Lytechinus pictus: one gene and its partners. The protein of the gene in region 2 binds, or shares a complex with, the protein of the main gene of each other region. Links are inferred from orthologs where the notes say so. Each region holds a gene or a part of one and is shown on either strand. Other genes may lie near its edges.

The links.
Region 1: the proteins of mitochondrial import inner membrane translocase subunit Tim10-B-like (region 2) and acylglycerol kinase, mitochondrial-like are in contact, whole or in part, in a cryo-EM structure (PDB 7CGP), measured with the Homo sapiens proteins. The link is inferred for Lytechinus pictus from reciprocal best matches to the Homo sapiens genes TIMM10 and AGK. Residues at the interface, in NP_036588.1 of Homo sapiens: Glu40, Glu42, Leu43, Ser44, Lys45, Gly46, Ser48, Arg53; in NP_060708.1 of Homo sapiens: Phe49, Gly50, Asn51, Gln52, Leu53, Ile54, Pro55, Pro56, Val60, Ser91, Gly92, Met93, Asp94, Val95.
Region 3: the proteins of mitochondrial import inner membrane translocase subunit Tim10-B-like (region 2) and mitochondrial import inner membrane translocase subunit Tim9-like are in contact, whole or in part, in a crystal structure (PDB 2BSK), measured with the Homo sapiens proteins. The link is inferred for Lytechinus pictus from reciprocal best matches to the Homo sapiens genes TIMM10 and TIMM9. Residues at the interface, in NP_036588.1 of Homo sapiens: Glu16, Met17, Asp20, Met21, Arg24, Ala28, Cys29, Lys32, Cys50, Arg53, Cys54, Ser56, Lys57, Tyr58, Asp60, Ile61, His62, Arg64, Met65, Gly66, Lys68, Leu69, Leu72; in NP_001291414.1 of Homo sapiens: Lys15, Leu18, Gly19, Tyr21, Asn22, Lys23, Thr25, Glu26, Cys28, Phe29, Leu30, Val33, Asp35, Phe36, Thr37, Thr38, Arg39, Glu40, Val41, Glu45, Thr46, Glu50, Leu53, Leu57.

Annotation. Positions count from the first base shown.
Region 1 is NW_026974140.1:1,665,070-1,672,761, forward strand, and holds the start of acylglycerol kinase, mitochondrial-like, read right to left. Parts: upstream 3,010-7,692; 5' UTR 2,975-3,009; intron 2,327-2,974; 5' UTR 2,247-2,326; intron 1-2,246. UniProt on the Homo sapiens protein: Lipid kinase that can phosphorylate both monoacylglycerol and diacylglycerol to form lysophosphatidic acid (LPA) and phosphatidic acid (PA), respectively. Does not phosphorylate sphingosine. Phosphorylates ceramide.
Region 2 is NC_087246.1:16,544,058-16,551,164, reverse strand, and holds the start of mitochondrial import inner membrane translocase subunit Tim10-B-like, read right to left. Parts: upstream 3,012-7,107; 5' UTR 2,669-3,011; coding exon 2,598-2,668; intron 1,940-2,597; coding exon 1,747-1,939; 3' UTR 1-1,746.
Region 3 is NC_087251.1:18,036,392-18,043,869, forward strand, and holds the start of mitochondrial import inner membrane translocase subunit Tim9-like, read left to right. Parts: upstream 1-4,469; 5' UTR 4,470-4,627; coding exon 4,628-4,660; intron 4,661-5,159; coding exon 5,160-5,255; intron 5,256-6,431; coding exon 6,432-6,563; 3' UTR 6,564-7,478. UniProt on the Homo sapiens protein: Mitochondrial intermembrane chaperone that participates in the import and insertion of multi-pass transmembrane proteins into the mitochondrial inner membrane.

The DNA.
Region 1 (7,692 bases), on a different chromosome or scaffold from region 2:
GTGTTTCATAAATTAAAATGAAAAGGAGCCGTCTCTCTTGTCGTCAGCTCCAATTCAGTTGACTATATTCTGATTTTGAACATTGATTTGAAAAGTGATTGTGATATGTTCGAACGCACTAAAAGGGATAAATGGAGGAAATTAAAATAACAATTACCCCGCGCGAAGCGCGGAAGCTAAAGCGTTTTATCAATTGTTTTTTAAGAAAAGGGTCCCGGGAAAAGGGTATCAAGTTAGTTATATCATGTATATTGAATTCCCGTGGAAAGTTTGATTACAAACAATTTAGCGACAGTGCATATTTTTAACTCGCAAAACAGAGAAGAAGAAGGGTGCCGGGAGGAAGACATTCCTCCACGCGCACAGCAATGAAACTCTGAAATTTCTAAGGGCGGACGTTACGTCAAATGCAGATATCTCCAATACCCCCATCGGCTCTATTGATTTTCTAAGATTATTGAACTTCATTACAAGGAAAATAGAGCGCAAAAAGTTGAAGCTTCTGTGATTTATTGAAATTATATTATAAAAATAATAATTTCTTTGACTCATCCTGAAGCGCTCGCATTTGAACAATTAAGAAACTTAAGTGTCTTTCAAAATTTCAAACTGAGACATGACATGAAGTTTCATCGAATTTGATAAAAATATTGTACTTTTTTATTTAATACGACACGAATTTTATACCTTCCTCTTTTTCAATTAGGAACCTGTTTACCCCAAAATTATGAATGTTTATTAACAAGCTAAAGCGGGAGAAGTTGCCTATATGGGGGTGACGGCAACATTTGATATAAAGATTTTACCCGCCGGGAGCCGACCCGACCAGAAGTGCGGAATGTTGCGTGATCAATTTGAAGGAAAAAAAGACAACTTCATATAATTCGGCCTAATCTTACTCTAATTCCATGCCCTAATGTATACATTTTAACTTTAAGTAGCAAGGAACGCACTAGCCCTATAACCGAGGTGGAAAGACAGGGTTAAAGAAAGGGTGAGGGAAAGGAGAACTGCAATATTGTCATTTGACCGCGCGAAGCGCGGAAGCAAAATTCATATATATATAAATTTAGAGCGAGAGTGAAGGAGTTTCGTTAAGGTACTAATTCTTTTGAGAGAAAAATAAAGAATGAAAAGAAAAACCCACAAAGCAACCTCTCTTCCCCTTCCTCCCTTCGCTTTCCTTTTCTCCTCTCTTTTTCCCCTTCCTTTTTTTCTTTTTTGGGACGTTTTGGGGGGGGCGACCGCCCCCACCGCCCCCCCTGGCTACGCGCCTGTTTGACCTTGATCATGTGACCTGAAACTCGCACAGGATGTTCAGTGATACTTGATTACTATTATGTCCAAGTTTTATGAACTAGACCAACACACTTTCAAATTTATGGCTGTAATTCAACAAATACCCCAATTTGGCCAAAGTTCATTGACCCTAAATGACCTTTGACCTTGATCATGTGACCTGAAACTTGCACAGGATGTTCAGTAATACTTGATTACTATTATGTCCAAGTTTCATGAATCAGATCCATAAACTTTCAAAGTTATGATGGTAATTCAACAGATACCCCCAATTCGGCCAAAGTTCATTGACCCTAAATGACCTTTGACCTTGGTCATGTGATGTGAAACTCATGCAGGATGTTCAGTGATACTTGATTAACCTTATGTATAAGTTTCATGAACTAGGTCCATATATTTTCTAAGTTATGATGACATTTCAAAAACTTAACCTTAGGTTAAGATTTTGATGTTGATTCCCCCAACATGGTCTAAGTTCATTGACCCTAAATGACCTTTGACCTTGGTCATGTGACATGAAACTCAGGCAGGATGTTCAGTAATACTTGATTAACCTTATGGCCAAGTTTCATGAACTAGGTCCATATACTTTCTAAGTTATGCTGTCATTTCAAAAACTTAACCTCAGGTTAAGATTTGGTGTTGACGCCGCCGTCGCCGCCGCCGTCGGAAAAGCGGCGCCTATAGTCTCACTCTGCTATGCAGGTGAGACAAAAATGAAGGGTCTTTAATAGGTATTTAGTATATTAAAAAGAAATGAACCATGATTTGACAATGCAGACCATTATCTTGGCAACATGTGCCACCAAGTATGGGTATATATCAGAAAAATAATCGAAATAAAATGACCTAGCGAACAGTGAAAAACAAACCCAATGAGAGCTGGTTGAACCATCTCAGATAAATACAAGTATTTATAAAGTGATTGTATAACAAATAATATTTACCCTTTTCTAGCAGCTGGATTTAGAAAGACAGTTGCTTTGACAGGTTTGCTAAAAGTCTTTTCCAGTTGCTGTCCATACACCTATAATCACAGAACATCAAGATATCATGTGATTAATGTCAATGCGAAATACCACTGAAGAAAATAATAATACCCCAGCGAGAATGTAGCATTTTAGCTCAGTTTATTGCCATCTGTCTTTTTGTGGCAATAGAGCGAGTACCCAACCCATCAAAAGAAAAAAATGTTTTGTGACCAATTTGTACATGTATCAGTCTCATGAGCATTTGGTGAAAACTAAGAAAATGGTTTGAAATGTAAAATATGTACTGTAACAGACCAACCAACTGACTGACCACCCAATCCCCTAAAGTCATACACTGATTTTTACATGTATACATGTACCCCTTTTTAGAGTTCATTTGAAATTCATTCAGTTATTTTGTCAATGTACATAGCCGACAAGCAACGCTTATCTGCTCGAAATGTCCTGGATAACAGTTCTTTTCAGAGCTACTGTCAGTAAGATAAACCAGCAGTCCTTTTAAGGACCAACCTACATGGTGTTATAAAAAAACTCTCCATTCAGTCTTACCACCATGCAAACCTTTAAAGCTCACAATACATACAAAGTACACTAGTTGATTAGTTCTGTCATGAAACTATCAAATGTTGCAACTGACTGTGAATAATATTTATAATAGATCATAATATTCAATGCATAGCTACCTGTGCTTGTTTGCAGTACTCTGTTCTCAACAGATTTGCCCTAAAGATTGAATAAAAACAAACAAACAGAATGATAAAGGCAACAAAGAGGAATAACTCACAATATTATTTGGATGTAGGGTTTTAGAGGCGCAGATGTTTTTGATGTCTTGCGAGGTTGTTTTAAAGAGACAAAATATTAAGTGATTTTTAACGTGCATGCCTATGGAAACCATCCAATATTGAAAATATTGGAGAAAATTAATGTTTTGCCCCGCCCACAAGCTTATCATTGGTTAATAAATGATTGTGCGCGTGAACCTATTGTTATGTCACAATGAAATTGTATTGTGTATTAGTTGACAGGTGTGGTAAAGGAGCATCGATTTATTGAATTCAAATGCGCTTGCATTATACGCTAGCGCATCTTTATTTTATTAAAGATTTTTAAATTACAATAATCAGGCGCCCATGCTCATGATTTACAGGAATGCCATAAATGATGGTTTTGCTTCATTACTTTGTTTGGCTTTGTGGGGATTTCTAAATAATAATAATAATATTGGATGACCAATTTTCGTGGGATGAAATATTGTTACTTGCTGAAGAACAATATTTCTTCGCATCCACTCAATGCCATCCAATATTCCGTAAATATCATATCTCATTTTAACAATATTCTTGCCGCAATTGTCTAAAGTTTTATGGTGTGAAGGAGAATGGATTAGAAAATATGGATGAAGCTATTTGTCAAACAGCTGCTGAGCGTCTTGGTGTCCATCTAACCGTAAACGATCTCAATAGATCGCATTGTGCTGCTCCAAGGAGTGATAAACCAACTTCAGACTCTGGATCTGCAGGCATCAATCAGAAGAACAAGAAGCCGCGTGCCATTATTGCCAAGTTTTGTTCATACCCAATCCGAAACAGTGTCCTGCGTGCACGGAGGAAACTGAAAGGTACTGGTATGGGGATAGAGGAGGCAATAGGACTACAAACAAGGAACTTCTGTGGGCTGCGAAGAAACACTCAAAGGTCAATGGAACTTGGTCCTCTGATGGACGAATCGTAGTCCTGTTAACTACCACGAATGGAAAGTCAATTCGTAAAACCAATCACAGAAAAAAAGACTTGGAGAATCTGTAACCTGAGAGAAAAATCAATGCTGTTGCATTCCAGTTCAGATTGGTTTATATCAGTCGGTTTATTATCTGACTCTAAAAGATAAATAACAGATAGTGATTGAAATAGTATTTTACCTTTTGTCAATTGTTTTTCACATATTTGTGTTTTGTGAAGATTTTGTGTTCTTGTCCTGTTACATCTTGTTAATGATGTCGAATGATGTAATAATAGACTCAAGTTTGAATAAAGATGAAACCATCAATAACTCATCTGTAAATTTAAACGATACTTACCTTCTCCCATTTGCAGAAATTGATGACTAGGAATTTGAATCTTTATTCCGTTTTTCAAGAGAATCTGTCGATACAGATAATATAGACCGACAACTTGTGGAAAATGGCCAGGATGAATATACTGACTCTACCAATGTGAGTATCACTTGACCTCCAAATTCAATGAAATTATCAAAAACTCTGTAACAAGACACTTGAGCATGATCCATTTCAATGCAAGAAGTTAATTTCAAAATTTCGATTACATTCACAGTTTTCTCTCAAATATCAGATTTAGATTTTCAGTGATTGGGATATCGGAAACATGGATCAACTCAAACTCTCATTTCCCCTTTTCAATTGAAGTTCCTACATTGTGACCGACTAAATGGCCGTGGTGGAGTTGGTCTATTTATTAGAGAGGATATGAATTAAAAATTGTGTGATTTTTCAGAGCACTATGAAGGTGTCAATGATTTACACATTGAAATAGAGTTCAAATCAGGGGAGAGTATCATGATTGGGATAATTTATCGCAAACCGAAATCGAGTATTTCTGCATTTACTTCATATTTTGATAGACTGATGAATAATAGTTATATAAATAATGTTTCTTCTTAATGGGCAACTTTAACATCGATTTGTTAAAAAAATCTGGAAGCCCTCTATTTCTTCATTTTTTGAACCATGTGATTTCATCGGGGTTTTATTCCATTAAAGACAGACCTAAACGAGCCAATAGTAGATCATCAACTATTATTGACAATATATTCATAAATGTTTTTAGTCGTTCCCCTTTGTCGGTGCCTTTTTACCAGATATTCCCAACCACTTTCCTATCTTCCATTTGTAACATTTGTCAGATATTGTAATATATGAGCAATGAAAAGTACATGTACACACCTACAGGAAGATATCCCCTGCAGCATTAATCATTTATGTGCTGATCTTTCAACCATGGACTGGTCAGAAGTATACCTACAAAGCCACCCGGAGATGGCGTATGACTCATTAAACTTTATTACCTTGTATAACAAACATCTGGCAGATGTTTGTTATACAAGGTAATAAAGTATCTGCTAATCAGTACAAAGTATATTGGTAAACGTTATCAGAATAGAAAGCCACGGATTCCCCTCAATATGATGAAGCTTACAAGAAAGAAAAATAAATGTTATAAATTGTACCTAAACTCTATGAAAGCTAATCACGATAAATATAAAAAGATTCGAAATGCTGTTACCCTGAATCTCCGGCAGTTGAAAAGAAAATATCATTTTGATAAGTTTGAATCCTAGAAAACAAATTCTAATAAAATGTGGAAACTTATCCATAACATTTTGGGAAAACAAAAAAATAATTCTGATAATCAAAAGTCTTTTTTACACAATGATTGTAACATTAGTGACTTCGTGAAATTGCAGAAAATTTAAATGAATATTTTGTCAATATCAGATCGAGCAAAAACAATGATCCCAATGACGATCATTTTAATTTGTTTGATATGTATATGAGTGACCCACTTTCTCATGTTTTTTAAACCGATTACAAAAAAAGAAATATTAGATATCAGTAAATCGCTATCTAATATTAAGAGTACCGTATTTGATGACATTGATCCATGTGTTGTGAAGAATGTTTTACCTTTCATTATAGACCCACTCTTACATATCTTTAATTCCTCTCTTGTATTAAACTGGAATTGCGCCTTCAAAACTGAAAATATCAAAAGTTGTTCCCGTTTTTAAAAAGGAGAATCCTAATCTATTCATCATCTACTGTCCAATATCAATTTTGCCATGTTTCTCAAATATCTTAAAGAAATTGGTTTTTAACAGACTATACAATTTTTTATTATGTCACAATGTATTATATGATAGTCAATACGGCTTCCGTCAAAATTACTATAGGAAATGGCACTTATTGAAATTCATGATAAAATAATTAGTGAGCTCAATGCCGGTATTAAGGTTACGGGAATTTTTAAAGATCTCTCCAAGACTTTTGATTCTCTTCCTCATGATAAAGTTGCAATATAATGGTATAAGAGGAGTGTCTTTTAATTGGTTCAAGTCATATTTATTACATTTACTGTCTATAATAATACCCATTCGTCTTTCATGGAGAAATTAAAACAGGTAGGCCCCTAGGTTCTATTCTTGAGCCTTTATTATTTTTAATAGACATTGTTAATGTAACTCTTGCCATGAACCACATTTTATATTGTATGCCGATGATACGTCACTTCATCATCATCACGGGTACCCAGCAACAGAACGAAAGTTCCATGATGCTGTGGTCGGGTGCAGATGCGAAATTGATTAGTTTAGAGCAGCCTTAAATTTGTCAAGCGATTGCATTGATGTAATGGCTAAGGGAAGGTCGTTCCAGTCCCGTATGGTTCTGGGCAGGAATGAGTACAGGTGCCTATCAGTTCTGGATTTGATGATATTGTAGGCATCTGGTGTGAAGCGTCGACTTGGACGGCTAGAGTTTTAAGGTGGAGTTTGGTTGACGTTACTGGAGATTCCCCCTTATGAATTAAGTAGAACTGGCTCAATCTGGCATTGAGTCGGCTGTCAACAAGACTTTCCCACTCTAATTGTTTTAGCATCCTGGAAACACTGGACTTACGACTGTAGTCGTTGATCACAAAACGAGCGGCTCTTCTCTGAACTTTATCTAACATATGGATGTATCTAGCCTGGTAGGGATCAGTAACAGCAGACGCATACTCCAGGTGTGGACGAACAAGAGCTTTGTAAGCTTTCCCTTTGGTATCAGAGCTGCAGTCTTATTTGCTTTGCTGACTATTCGCTGATAGTGTGATTTCCCCGGGGGGGGGGGGGGGGCACTCGACCAAAAAAGTGGTAGGGGTGTGCCGCGGGCGAGACAAAAAACGGGGGCCTTGGAGCGGGCTTATTGTAAAAAGGAGGGTCCTCGGAACGGGCTTCGGAACTACAAATGTTTGTGAAAACGGGGGACCTTGGAACGGATCGCCAGCGTGTGAGTGCGTATGCATTCCTATGATGCATCCCTATGGAACAGACAGGCATGCGTGCATGATGCAGCTAGCGCGGCCTCCGCCGGGTGCGCTCGCGCAGAGGCAATGGTCGGACAGCGCTCTGCGGCCGCTTTTCACCAAAATTGCAGCTCATTGTAGCAGATCAATGCGACCGGAACGGCGTAACGAAAATATGCAAAGCTTTGGAGCGGATTTCTTTCTTCTTTTTTCTCGATAAGAAGAAAATGCTATGCTTTGGAGCGGCTTTCTTTCTTCTTTTTCTCAATAAGACAAAAATGCTATGCCTTGGAACGGAAATTTAAGTGTAAAAATGGGGG
Region 2 (7,107 bases):
CAGTCATCCTCTTTTAAAAATGTATGTTGTGCACGCCCTTTTATGAGATGAGCGAGACCAGTCCCTCCCCCTTTTATTTATTTATTATTTTTTTGAGGGGGGGGGGGTCTCTTCATAAATTTGGTAGAATATTGATTTGACCTACAGCCTGTGCCCCTCTCCACATTTTAAGAAATCATGAATCTGCCCGTAACTGCTTTTATCTTTTGGTAGTTGCATCAAAGTTACTTTTGTGATAATTTTGCTATCCAACCATGGAATATTGGCTGTCACCATGGTAGTTGCTCACTCGTAAATTGTTAAGAGTATCAATGGCAACTTTGGCAAGAATAAAATTTCAACAAACATCAATTTTCTTAACATGCCAAGTGTGCCTATACCAGTCAGTCAAGTACATTCAGATGATCATTCTTTTATAGTGATTAGTATCACTGATGATATGTAAACAGTCATGGTATAATTAAAGCTTTGGTAAAAGACAAATATACATACCAATCTTACAAAAGTGTAGTGAAAATTACCCAAGTTTCCAAAAACTAATTCTTTGTCAAATTAAATATTGACGAGATGGCAGATGTACACCACTGTACATACATGTAGCCCTATTTGTTTAACACTTATGAAGTTAACTCTCATATCAAAATCTCTTAACAAAGATTTAATCCCGATACTTGATCCATGCATGAAAGGTTATTGATACCAAAATCAAGGATTTTTGGCTCGGGACCCATTACAACCCAACATATTGATTGTTAATTTAACCTATTCATATTATATGCTGAATCAAATCTTTCACCTCAGGTGTTTTAGGATACTTTTTCATTTTATTGAAAATGGTCACTTTATCCTATCCATCTTTAGAAACATATGTTTGAAAAATACAGTATTGATTTTCACTTTGAAGCCTCACCCTTGTATTAAAAAATGCTTACTATCAGAAGTTTGGAATTGTATGCACTATGGACTACAATACAAAATTTGAAATTTTGGCAAAGCTGAATAAGCTCAAATGAAACTGAATAATTTTCTTTTTAATTCTCCAGAACATGCCTTTCTAGATACACAGAGTTTTGTTACCCCCGCAATTCCGCCAATATCAATGGCTTTAAATCTGCGATTTACCTTCTGTGACATTTAGCAAAAGTGTCAATATATTGTCCTCTCAAATCTACCATGCAATCCTGTGCTCTGCAGTCTGCACAGAACACGCTGGATAATAACATCATTGCAACACTTGCAGAGTGATTGCACCTAAATATTGCATCGTTGCTAAACCTATAGCAATTTTGCAAACATGATGCAAAAATGCAAGGCAAGAGAATGCTAGTCATATATACAAACTGACCAGATTCTGTGTCACAGAAGTTGCATCTTAATCTAAAGCAGAGTATTATCATAATTTTCTAATTAAAAAAAAAAAATCAAATTCAATGTGGGTGAGGCTTGCATGGCTCAGTTATCATTCTCTTGTCCTTCATTCAGCCCGTTGGACAAGTTACAAATTAAACTTCTCAAATATGATCTTACAAACAGGCGATATCCTGCCTTGACCACTGCTGAAAACCAAACTCCTCTGGACTTAATAGTTAATGCTTTCATGAAGCTGATATGTGGCCAAGATAACTGCATCCACAAGTTACATCTGATCTGGGTCCTATAACATTTTAAAAGCAATTCAATGAATTGTACATTCAATTGAATTGCATCTCTAATGTACCTGGGCCCTGGGCTGATTGGAGATCATCACTAACTCTGTCCCTGCATTTGTTTCATCATGGCCTCATCTTGGGCTGACTTCTCAGTCAATTTTTTACCAATGCTCTCATGGACCTCCAAATACTTAGCAACACAGCGATCCAAGCAGACAGCTTCACCTTTAGAAAGGTCACCTTCTTTGTAGGTAGGTGGAATACACTTCTTCTGACAAGCAACAGTCATCCTAAAAAAGAAAAGTACATACATTTTAAGAATTAGTTGAAATTATGGTATAAGATAATGAAATGTAGGACGATAGGATCTGGAGCCGTATTCTGAAAATTGTCTTATCTTGTATCTTCAGATAAAATCCGTAGTCTGACATTCTTGTATCTTTTCTTGTAATTTTTTTGTAACTTTGAATGAGCATGTTTGACATCACAGTTATGATGCGTAAAGTTGACAATCACAATGGCACATAAAAATATCTGTGCGCAAGATAACTAATCGAGAAAAAACATTGAAAAAGGTAGTTCTGAAAGTTCTGCTTACTTCCTTAAAATACAAGAAAATTTAAGAGATAGGGGGCTATTGTAACTTTATCATGCGATATTTATCGGTCAAAAATAATAATTTTTTGCTGCATCCCGCAAGAACATCGTTTTACAAAATGAGAAAAGATTACATAGACGGATTGGTAGACTTTTCAACAATCAATTTATCAAAAATTGGTATTCGAGTTGATGAATTTTTAATATATTACTATTAGTATTAAAAGTATTAATATTAGACTCTATATAATGTGGAGCAGCCTAGTATAATAATGTCAAAGAAAATATGATTCGGAGAACAGCCACATGCACTTTTACTACTTTTACCATGTTTACATTAGCAGTACTAACCTGTTGTACATGTCTGCCATCATTTCTACTTCTAATTCAGCCAAGAGCTGAAGCTGCTGCTGTTCATTCATGATTGTTCAAGTCTATTCGACTAGGAATTGTGAAGTCTCCTCTCTAGCGCAGTGCCGTCTTTGCCACGCCGAGGTTGCGGCGGATAATGAGACGAGCGGTCCGTCAAGCAGATGCAAAGTCCGAAGCGAAGATGGCACTGGCGAAATGAATATATCCTTATTTTTTTACAGTTTAGGTTCAGATGATTAATCGAATTAGTATAAATTATGATAATCGACGGATATTGAAACTATTAAACATACAAAGATCGATTCTCCTCTCAATATTCGTTGCAATTTTGTTTAGTATGCACGTGGACCAAGCAATTCTTATGGTAAACGCACTTACACAAATAAAAAAGTAATTATTTGGAAAAAAGGCTACTCTGAGCTGCTCATCTCATCTCATTTATTTCAAAACAAACTGCGATTTATTCAATTTCAATTCAATTCAATTTATGACAGTGGATAGTTGAATATTATTTTTATAAAAGACTTTTTTCTACAGAAGCATGGGAGCTGTGATGACTTAAGATTAATATGCCCCTTTTCACGCATTTATGGGGGGGGGGGGGGGGGCTATCTAGGGGTCGAGCTAGCTACTACACATATTTTTATGTTAAATTGCCAATTCGTCTACTGCCATCCCACTGGTCTACCTTCATTTTGTCAAATGCCATTTCGTCAATCAATATTTCATCTACCACCCATTTCGTCCAGCAGTCGTCATTTTGTCGAATATCCATTTCGTCTACCACCCATTTAGTCTGATTCCATTTAGGCTAATGCCAACTCTTCCATCAATCAGTTCGTCCAACATTTATTTGGTCCAATAGCCATGTCGGCTAATATCAGTTGGTCCAATATTCAAATTGTCTACTTATCAATTCGTTTAATTGCCATTTCGTCTAATTATCTTTTTGTCCACCAACCATTAGGTCCGATACTAGTAATCAGTTCGTCTAACAACCAATTTCTTCCAATTCCCAAATCATCCAATAGCCATTTAGTCTAATAGCTAATTGGTCCAATAGCCATTTTGTCAAACACAAATACGTTGCATTATCCGAGCAGAGGCGGCAAAATTACTTAAATATATATACCTTGAAATTATTGAAAATAAAAAATGAATTAAAAAATCATGATAACTACTATCAGGAATGGAATGAACACATGCCCCCACCCCCTTCAGCTGGCAAAAAAAAAACGGGGGAGGGGGAGGAGAAAAAGAGGAAGAAAGAGAAATGTAGTGGGGAAAGAAGAAATCATTGTATTTTATTTTAATGTTATATTATTTAACATTTGTATTATATATTGCATTATATTATACACAAGATATATTTTTCATAACTGTATGAAACACAATTTGCTTAGGGCCTATGTGTTCGTCACTCCTGGTGCTCGCATTGTCTGTTTAATGAGATAGATCATCCTGTTCAATGGCACTAAATGGTATTGAAACATCCCGTTTTCAAGTCAATATACACCAAATATATTTCCTTGCACTTCGAGCTTTTACTATTTTATGTAGTGACATATGCTTCTGTTTCATGACTACTTAATGTGATAGCCTCCGAAAACATTTCCAGTCGTGCTTAGGTCTGCATTCGCGGATTGGTGAGATATGTCTGCTCTTCATGAAAACCTAAAAACAGTCCTTAAAATGTCCCCTTTTTTCTGGTCTGAATATCAAAAATTTTCAGCTCGCGCTTCGTGCTTGAATTATTTGATTAAGGAGATACATATCCTTTTACTAACACAATCCTTAAAAGCTCTATTGTCAGTATATGAGCCCACTAAGTAACTCAAAATTCTGGTCGGATATAACAATTAAAATGATAATCATCGATCATTCATCATCATATAACAATAATAATAAAAATGAATAAATAATAGTAATAATAATAAGAAGAATGGTAATTAATATTTATAATAGATTTAGATTTAGATTTATTCATTTTCCGTTCACAAAGCACAACAAAATCAAAGTAACAATACATAGTCAAATAGTCACACACAAAAAGAAAAAAAAAGAGGAGAAAAAAGTAGGTGAGGGGAGAAAAGGAAAGAGGTAAAATAAGAGGAAGTCATGTGAATAAAACCAAAAATACAAAAACAAAATAACAAAAACAGGTGTGTATTAATCAGAAATCCTGAGCGCTACAGGAGGCGAGTCAGCAATACACAGGCACCGTACACATAGAGGGCTGCTATAGTAGAAGACTATTTATGGTTGTAGATGAAATGAATGTTGGACGAAATGATTGGCCAAGATGGCATTTGAACCTATTGGTGATTAGACCAAATGATTTTTAGACAAAATGGGTTTAGACTAAGTGATGGTAGACCAACTGCATTAGGCCAAATGGACAATAGACAAAATGAAAGTAGACTAAGTGGTCATTAGACTATTTATTTATTTATTGTGGAGCGTTGTGGCCCAGTGGATTTGTCTTCGGACTTTGAAACAGAGGGTCGTGGGTTCGAATCCCAGCCATGGCGTAATTTCCTTCGGCAAGAAATTTATCCACTTTGTGCTGCACTCGACCCAGGTGAGGTGAATGGGTACCCGGTGGGATTTATTCCTTGAATGCTTTAGCGCCTGTATGGCCGCTCAGCTACAGCCGGGGTAATAATAATATACCAAGTATATTTCAGCGCCTTGAGCACATAATCAATGTGGATTTGGCGCTTTAGAAATACTCTATATTATTATTATTATTATTATTATTATTTGCCTTTAGACCAGTTGGCTATTAGACCAAATGGTAATAGACCTAATGAGATTGGACAAAGTGGCTATTGGACCAAATGGCAAAAAAATGCAATTAGACCAAATGAGAATAGACAAAATGGTTATTAGACCAACTGGCTATTGGACAAAATGGTAATTGGACGATGTGGATAGTGGACCAACTGATGGCTGACGAAATGACATTAGACCATATGGTGAGTGGACAAAATGGCAGTAGACAAAACGGCAGAACTGAAACCATTTTTATTTAGTTTGCCAATATTCTCAGCTTTTCTGTACCATTGTTTAGTACCCATTGAAATATCCTTATAGAATGCGAAGGAATTAATATAACTGAAACGAAAGGCCAGTCAGTGGGATTTTTGTTGAGGCGATTCTTTTTAGTCAAATCAATTGAACATGTATCTTCTTTAAATTCTATTTTTCTAATACCTTTGTTTGCCTTATCATTGTTGTATGGTGTTATCACTCTATTCTATACTCTGCATTGCTTTTTATTGGAATATTGAATTGAAAATAAATTGAAATTTGCACATCATGCAAAACCCCATGCAACCATGCAGATAAATGAACATAACACTTAGCTTTCGTGAACTTGTGCAAGTTTTAATTAGAAAAAAACATATATACATGTATTAACACATGTTGTATTCATTTTTGAGAGGGGGCAATAAAGAAAAATCCACAACACAACAAAAATGTTCAGAATCCACATAGCCCTAATCTAGTCTGCAGGCACAGACCCTAATTGAAGCTTTGATCAACAATTGAGTCTCCACAGAAGACTCGCATATATAAAACTTGCTGTTTCAGTAAATATGTAGGCTGCACATTCAGACCTTTAACTCAAGTGAGGGGTTTGCACAGGAGACTAGCCAAAATCAGGAGTAAAAGGGGTTCACTAGATTTGACTTTAATTGGAGGATACAAACACATAAATGTGGAACTAAGGGGAAGTCCACCCAAACAAGTCAATTTGAATAAAAAGAAAAACAAAATCTTGCTGAACTCATACTGAAAATTTCATCAAATTCAAAATCAGAATAAAATAAGTATAGTATGACATTTTACAAATTTTGAGTAATTTCACAAGACAGTAATTTGCATATACCGGTCATTATGCAAATGAGGGAACCTTTTACATCATCCAATCACTATTTCTTTTGTAATTTATGATATGAATATAAAAAAAGTATTTTAATTTTCTCCTCATTACAAAGTGACACAAATTTTAAGTCCTCTCAAAACTTTTGAAACTGCCATCTGGCTTAATCTTTCATGGTTCAATCAAGAGGATGCTTATTATCAATCTGGAAAACTTAAAGTGTTGCTTAATTCATATAATAAAAAAGTTATTAAGCATTTGTGAGTTAACAACATCAACTGTCTCAATTGCATATCACTGAGTTATGCATAGAACTGTTTTGACAAAAATAAGCAAAAGTTCAAAATGTCAGAACTTCCTTATTTTACATCTTATTTTAATAAAATTTTCAGCACAGGCTTGCTTGATTTGTCTCTTTTGATTCAAATCAACCTTTGTCTGAGATGGACTTGACCTTTAAATAAATCTCCCATGGCTAGCCCTACCCATGTGAAAAAACCCCCTGACATTGCCTGTTTATCTATACTGACAGAAAGTAAAAAAAAGTATGGTACTAATGACTACTATCCATTTCATTTGGAAGTCTCAGGGTGGTAGGGG
Region 3 (7,478 bases), on a different chromosome or scaffold from region 2:
GAAAGGAGGAAGAAATAAAGGAAGGAAGAAAGAAAAAAAAAAGAAGAAAGAAAGAAAGAGAGAGAGAATGGCTGCGGGGAAGAGAAAGAAAGAAAGAAAGAAGGGAAAGAAGGAAGGAAAGAAAAAAGAAAGAAAGAAAAAAAACTGAGGGGAAGAGAAAGAAAGGAAAGAAAGGAACGAATAAAGAAAGAAAAAGGGTAAAAGGAAAGAAAGGAAAAGGTAAAGGATGGATGGAAGGAAGAGAAAGGGAAAGAAAGAAAACAAGAGAAAGGAAAGAAAAAAGAAAGGAAGAAAGAAAAGGTAAAAGGATAGATTGAAGGAAGGAAAAAAAGAAAGAAAAGAAAGATAGATAGAATGAAAGACAGAAAGAAATGAAGGAAGGAATGAAGGAAAGAGATGAAGGAAGGCAGAAAGAAAAAAAAATAAGGAAGAAAGAAAAGGATGGATGGAAAATAAAAGAAAGATCAAAAGAACGAAAGACAGAAATAAAGAAAATCAGGAAGAAAGAAAATGAAAGGAAAAAATAGAGAAAAAAACTGAGGGGAAGAGAAAGAAAGGAAAGAAAGAAAGGAACAAATAAAAAAAGAAAAAAGGTAAAAGGAAAGAAAGGAAGAAAAGGTAAAGGATGGATGGAAGGAAGGAAAAGGGAAAGAAAAAAACGAGAGAAAGGAACTTGAGAATGAAAAGCAGAGCTTCCAAGTCTCCCGGATCCTGCGGGAGAATACTGGATTGCGATCCAATCTCCCGTTTTCCCGACCCCATGCCAAAATCTCCCGGATAATCAGGATTTTTAGCTGTTAAATTATAAAATTCATACAAACGACTGTTTAACAAGTCTAGCATGTTCAACTTCCTAGCTTATACGGCAGCTTATATGATACGCGCCGTATAAGCTAAAACAACAACAACAACTAACACCCACGTGGAACCTCCTTATCACATTTTCATTTTACCCAGTAAATTCTACCAGTTTTTGTATAATCGTACATTGATTTCCCATGTAAATTAAGATAATTTTACTGAACGACTGGTGAAGTAGTCTAACAAGCCATTTTATTTCCAGGTTCTGCAATGTGTGTGATGAAAACTCTTCAGCGGTACTCCATGCACATGGCCCCCGATGCGCCCTGGAGTGGCTCCAGCCGGCCGCGCTGCGCCAGGAAGCTCCGAGAAGGAAAGTTCACGAGCACTGCGAGGCATTTTTCGTAAGCTTGCTTGCGCCTTATTCGAGCTGAAACTGTGGATCAACGATGGGATTAACAAGTGGATTACTTTTACACCTCGACTTTCAGTTTCAGGAATAATTTAATTGACAATCCTGAAGAATTAGAAGCAAAGTGGAGATTTTTTCGCCTACTTTCACTTGGGTTGATCGGATTCGAACATTTTCTCTTTCGTGAGTGAGCTAGCCTGGCGCTGGCTGGCTGAGCTGTGCGAAGCACGCCCCGTTAGTCCGGGGGCAGGGGGAGTTTATTCAGCTGATCGGGTACATAAGGTTTGATGGTCCCAACATGTTGGCATGATATCAGTGGTCAAGAAAATGTGTTGCTGCCGGGTCATATCCTGTACGGAAGGCCCAGAGGACCCCATTTTTGTCGGCCATCTTTGATTTTTCATGAAAATCAATTATTTTCATATTTTTGCACAAACAATGGAAAAATATTAAATGAATACGCATTTCACAATGATTTAGACAGTAGAAATCGATTGCAATCATTTTTTGGACAGTCCGGTTAAAGGGGAAGTTCACCCTGAAGAAAACTTTGTTGTAAAAATAGCAGAAAAAATAGTAAAAAATATTGGTGAAGGTTTGACGAAAATCCGTTAAAGAGTAAGAAAGTTATTAGAGTTCAAAGTTTTGGATTTGTGACGTCATAAACGAGCAGCTGCCCCATGTGTTATGTAATATAAAATGCATGAATTTTGAATTTTGTATGGTTCCTGATGACTTAATTTTTTTTCTATTCATGATCGGGTGTGAAATGATTTGTCTATTGATATACAAAAGGTACAGTGAAAACCATTTTCAATTTTCTGAGAAAATGACATTTCATTGATTTTTTACCATTCGCTATGTAGGAATGCTGCTCGCACATGACGTCACAAATCAAATAATTGAAATTCTAATAACTTTTTAATTATTTGATGAATTTTTCTCAAACCTTCGGCAATATTTTTGATTATTTTTTCTGCTATTTTTACAATAAACTTTTTGTCAGAGTGAACTTCCCCTTTAATATTTTTTGAAAAATATAAGAATTTATGCCAAAATTTCCAGGTTTTTAGGCAAAAATTTGCATGTGCATTGATATCTTTCCGTTCGTCATTAATATCAACAATTAATGAAAAATATCAGCATTCAACACGAAAGAGAATATATTAACGAGAATATTGATATGCTTCATGACAATATTAATGTCTTAATTTGGTTAGATATAGGGAAAATACTTCCAAATGTATTCCCCGATATTGCGATTAAATGACACCAAAAAGCAACCTCCGTCACTAGTCACACGAGTGATACCGACTTCAATGCGCTCGCTATAGCTTTCCTTTCAAAAGAGTACAATAGACTCAATCGGTCTTGTCTTGCCTTTGTTGGTGTGACTAGCACGCATGAATGCATGTCATGAGCGTCGCTATAGAAAAATGTATATTACATATATGGGTATGAGGGAAAAAGGCGTTTTTTACATATTTAAGCAGCTTTTATGTTAATGAAACCTCTTGGAAAAGTTAGAGGAGGGATTGCTCTGCAGGTCGCAAGCAATTACATTCGGACACCTTAAAACATAGTCCCGCAAGAGCCTGTCGAAGGTACCCCACCCTTATCCAAAGCTTGACTATTAAAATATCTTGCCCTTTGGAGCCCTCAATGTGGCAAAATGATGCTACGGTTAGGTATAAAAACAACTTTTATTTTCTTGAAATCACTTGCAGACGAAAGAGTAGGCTTTTCTCCATCAGCTACATTTAAATAAGTGAGGGCACAACAATGCCTACCCTCTCAGGGGGCTGCCCCAAGTCACCCACCCCCTTTTTCGTATTTTGCCCATTTCTTGGAAAATTTGTCAATTTGGAGCCACATTGATAAAAAAGTGTTTCTACTATGTAGTGAAACCACTTTTATCGTTTTAAACCACTTGGAGACAAAAGAATAGACTTTTTTCTATCTGCTACATATAAAGAATTACTGGAAATTCGAAGCCACCCCTGTCAGTGGGATGCCTAAAACACCTTCCCCTTTTTCCATATTTTTCAAATTTATGGAAAAATCTGAAAAGTTGGAGCCCCCACTGAGGCTAAAGGGTGTTTCTGCTAAAAAGCAATCCATTTAATTGTCTTAAAACCACATGGAGACGAAAGATTTGCCTTTCCTCTATCAGTTACATATAAAGAGGTGCTGGTACAGCAAAGCCTACCCCCGTCAGGGGCTCCTGAAATTACCCACCCCTACAGTAAGGAAGAAAGTTCAGACTATCCAGTCATAAATAAAGAAGAAAATTTATCAATGATTTCCTTGGCTAAAAAAAAATAGTTACGAAAGAAACCATGTTTATCAACATACACACAAGTGCATATTTGGGACTGTCAAACAATGTATTTCAGTGTGTGCAATACTAGACGATCATTCGAAACCTGATCTTTTTGAAGCATAACAGAAGTGAAAATTTATCCTTATACTGCTTACAAATGATAGAGCTACCCCAATTTTTAGGAAATGTGGACATTACAAGAGTTTTCATTGGTAAGAAATGTGAAGTTTGACAGTTCTGTGGGAGATTTCTTCCAGAGCAAACTTCGTTCGTGCAGCACCGTAGAAACCATGGGCTGCGTGGACTAGGCGCTAGCTAGCTAGGTATTCTAGACTGCCATTGATTCTGTGTGTGTGTGTACGTGTCTGAGCTGTGTGTTTATTGCAGAAAATGGCGCAAATTTTGCAATTCGAATCATGACTTATAAACTTTTTTGAAAGAAATTAATGATATGGCTTTTTTTCTCTCTTTTTCTTTTCTATATTTTTGATGGTGAAATATGGGGAATCTTTATAAAATATAATTTCTATATGAGAATTTTGCTTGCCCGATTCGGGCAATTAGTTTTTATCTGTGCTTCAAAACACTTGCCCGACTCTAACTTTTACTTGCCCCGGGCAATCGGGCAAGCGCTTATGTCGCACCCTGCATTGGCAAAAGTTGACCCATATCATTTATTCTGAATACATTTGCATTTTTATGATATATGTATGCAAATGCAATGTTTTTATTTATGCATGCAAGGTTGACTCATATTTTGTATATCACTATTTAATGGAGATTTTTGATAGAGTATATGTTTGTTTCAGAACAGTGTATGTTAGCTATATAATTCAGGATATTAGAATTTACTCTCCCAGAGTTATCATGAATGATGTACATACAAGACAGAATGCTTCTGTTCTGTTCGATGTTTGTTATTATCATTATTACAGTACCTGTACAAGTATCAACTTTTCATCTCCTTGCAGATCTGTAAATTTGCAGAAGATTGACATTGAGAAGCAAGTAGTTGACCCGCAGATACAATCCTTTCCTATGAGAGATTTATTCCCTGCAGCCAAGTAGCAATAAAAAAACACTTCAAAATCATGGCAGTGCAACCTCAAATGGATGCAAAGCAGGTAGAGTACATGGAATTTATGTTGATAAAACATTAAGCTAAGGAAATTAGAAAGTCAATTCCTGACCTTTTTATGTATGATTTTTTGTTGCAATGAAGTAATCACGTACATTGTGGTCTATTCTAACATTTGGATGTGGACCAATCTGAGTTTGAGATACCATTCAATGTTTTCTCACCTTATATGCAATATATCATGTTTAAAAAAATGCATGTTCAAGATAGTAGTTTCCTTATTTCTCTTTACAGTGTAGAGAAATAAAACAGATTTTGAAATCAACAACACATTTACATTTAAACAGAGGTGGTTAGGCATGCCTACCAACCTTACAATGTAGAGGATGGGAAATAGGTGTTTGAAGTATGGAAAACAAGGCAGATAATTTGTCACAAAAGGACAGACTGAATTGTCTAGAATAGAGGAAAGTTACTTCCTTGTTTACAATTATATATAGAGGTGAAAGTGTTAAGGCACTCTTTTCCTTTTCTTTACATCGCAGTTGAAGGAATTTCTCCACTCCTACAACAAGCTGACAGAAGCATGCTTCCTGGATTGCATCAATGACTTCACTAATAGAAAGCTACATGATAATGAGGTTAGTTGACTGTTCATGTTTGAAGTTTTCATAGGCCTCTTTTTCACCAAATATATTTCAAGATATTTTTTGTATTATTCATTTTGAGAGATTAAGAATTCAAGTAACTTTGCTTAATTCGATTCTTTTGGGATCACAGAAATCTGTTTAACTTATGAGAAATTTGATCAAAGAAGAGGTTCATATAACTTGTGTTTTGCATAGGCTAGTCTGAAAATTGCTTTAAATTTAAATTTTATATCCCAAAGAATTTCAAACCTGATAATATCACTGGCGCCCATCTTACGAAGAATTTCAATAGTTCTGAATAAAAACCCAAACTGGATTCGATATCAAAATTCTGTAATTATGCGATCGAATTTAGATATATCTCAATTTTAAGTTTGTATTAAAATCTATCACATCTTTTTGTGTGATTGGACCCTGTCCAATTTTCTATTTTCAAAATAAGTTTATGTTTATGTATGATCTTATGGCTTGTATTTTTAAGTCAGGTTTAACTAAGACCATGGTCTAACTCTGCTAAAATTATGGATAGCCTAAAAAAATTCCTTACATTGTGTGTTTCTTATGTTTATTGTGCTCTTTCTTAACTTGTGAATGATGAAAAAAGCTATCTTATCTATCCTTCTGCAATGGTAAAGAATGATTTGAGAGAAAAATGAACTGATGCATTGAAATTCTATTAGAGATTTATGCCACTATTGGCTATCCATAGTTAAACCGCATTTTTAAACCAGAGTTTAAATTAAACCCAACTTTAGAATACGGGCCTATGAATTTATGCTCATTAGCAAATTATATTTGATATCTACAATGACATCATAAAGTATACATGTATACTCCCTTTAGGAAGTCAAAGGAAATGATTGATATTCTATGAATGATGAGAGATAGTGCCAAGTGATTTAGAGTAAATAGAAACTTGATGATTTTTACAAATGTTTAAAGGAAAATAATCAAAGCTATCATAAGGATGAGATGCCTGTTCAAATGCAGACCTCATAAATCAAGACAATTCATAATTAGAAAATATGACGAAACTGATTCTGTGGCTTGTACATGGCAAAATTCCTAAAACTGTCTTAAAAAATTGAATATTAATAAAACATGCAGAGTGGAATAAAAAAAAGTATAATATTCTAAATTTTGTTTTCTTTCACCTCAACATTGCAGAAACACTGTTCATTTAACTGCATGGAGAAGTACCTTAAGATGACGCAGAGAGTTTCCTTGAGATTTCAAGAGTACCAGGTCCAACAGAATGAAGGTCTTATAGCCCAACAAGCAAAGTTTGGTGGTAGATAGTAAAGGATATAAACTATAAAATACAAATCAAATTGACTGTTGCCAGCATTTAATAGTCAAATCCAGCTTCGGCCAGATTTTAGCGGCCTCATTACAAACTGTTTCAAGTGGCTTTGTGACTCTGAACTACTGGCCTCAGCTCTGAAATTAACGAGTATTGTTGAATATAATGTAACTATTAGAGGACTACCGACACCATTCAATGCAACCAGCTTGGATACTCCTGTCAGTGTTGCTTCTTTGTGGTGCTTTTTTAGGATCATCTTTGGGGTGTTGCAAGAAACTTGATTGCAACCGATTGCAAATTTCAATTGCGAATTTGTGATGAACAGATCACTGAACTATATCGACTCGATTTATAGACTTTTCTGCAAGAGAAGACGAACAAAACAATAAAAAATTTACAAACATTTCCAAGACAATTTATGATTGATTTGGGGACCAAAAATTTATTTAGTAATCGATTGCAAATTTCTTGCAATGCCCCCTTAGTTTGAACTGCATTAATACAAATATACTCATCCCATTGGTCTGATGGTTGCTCAGATTTTACCTGGCCATACATGACTATGTACATGTAGCTACCATATTTGATCTTTCTTTGGTACAAAGATGAAGGGGGTATTCTGATCATTCAATTTATTTGTAAAGTTGGAACACAAATCCAAAAGGTGTTAACCACTCCACAATCATACCTCAACTGCAAAGAATTCTTTTACTCCCCTAGTGCATACATGAATCTTTCATTCTTATCCCGGTTGCAAATGAAGCCCTTTCTATATTTTGGCTGTTTTTTGTGCTGAAAAGGAGTCCCTTTTGCATCACTTAAAATTTTGTATATTTAATTCATTTCAAAATAAATATGGTTTCTTTAACCCATTCTGAATATAGCTACAATAATGCTTATGTGATATA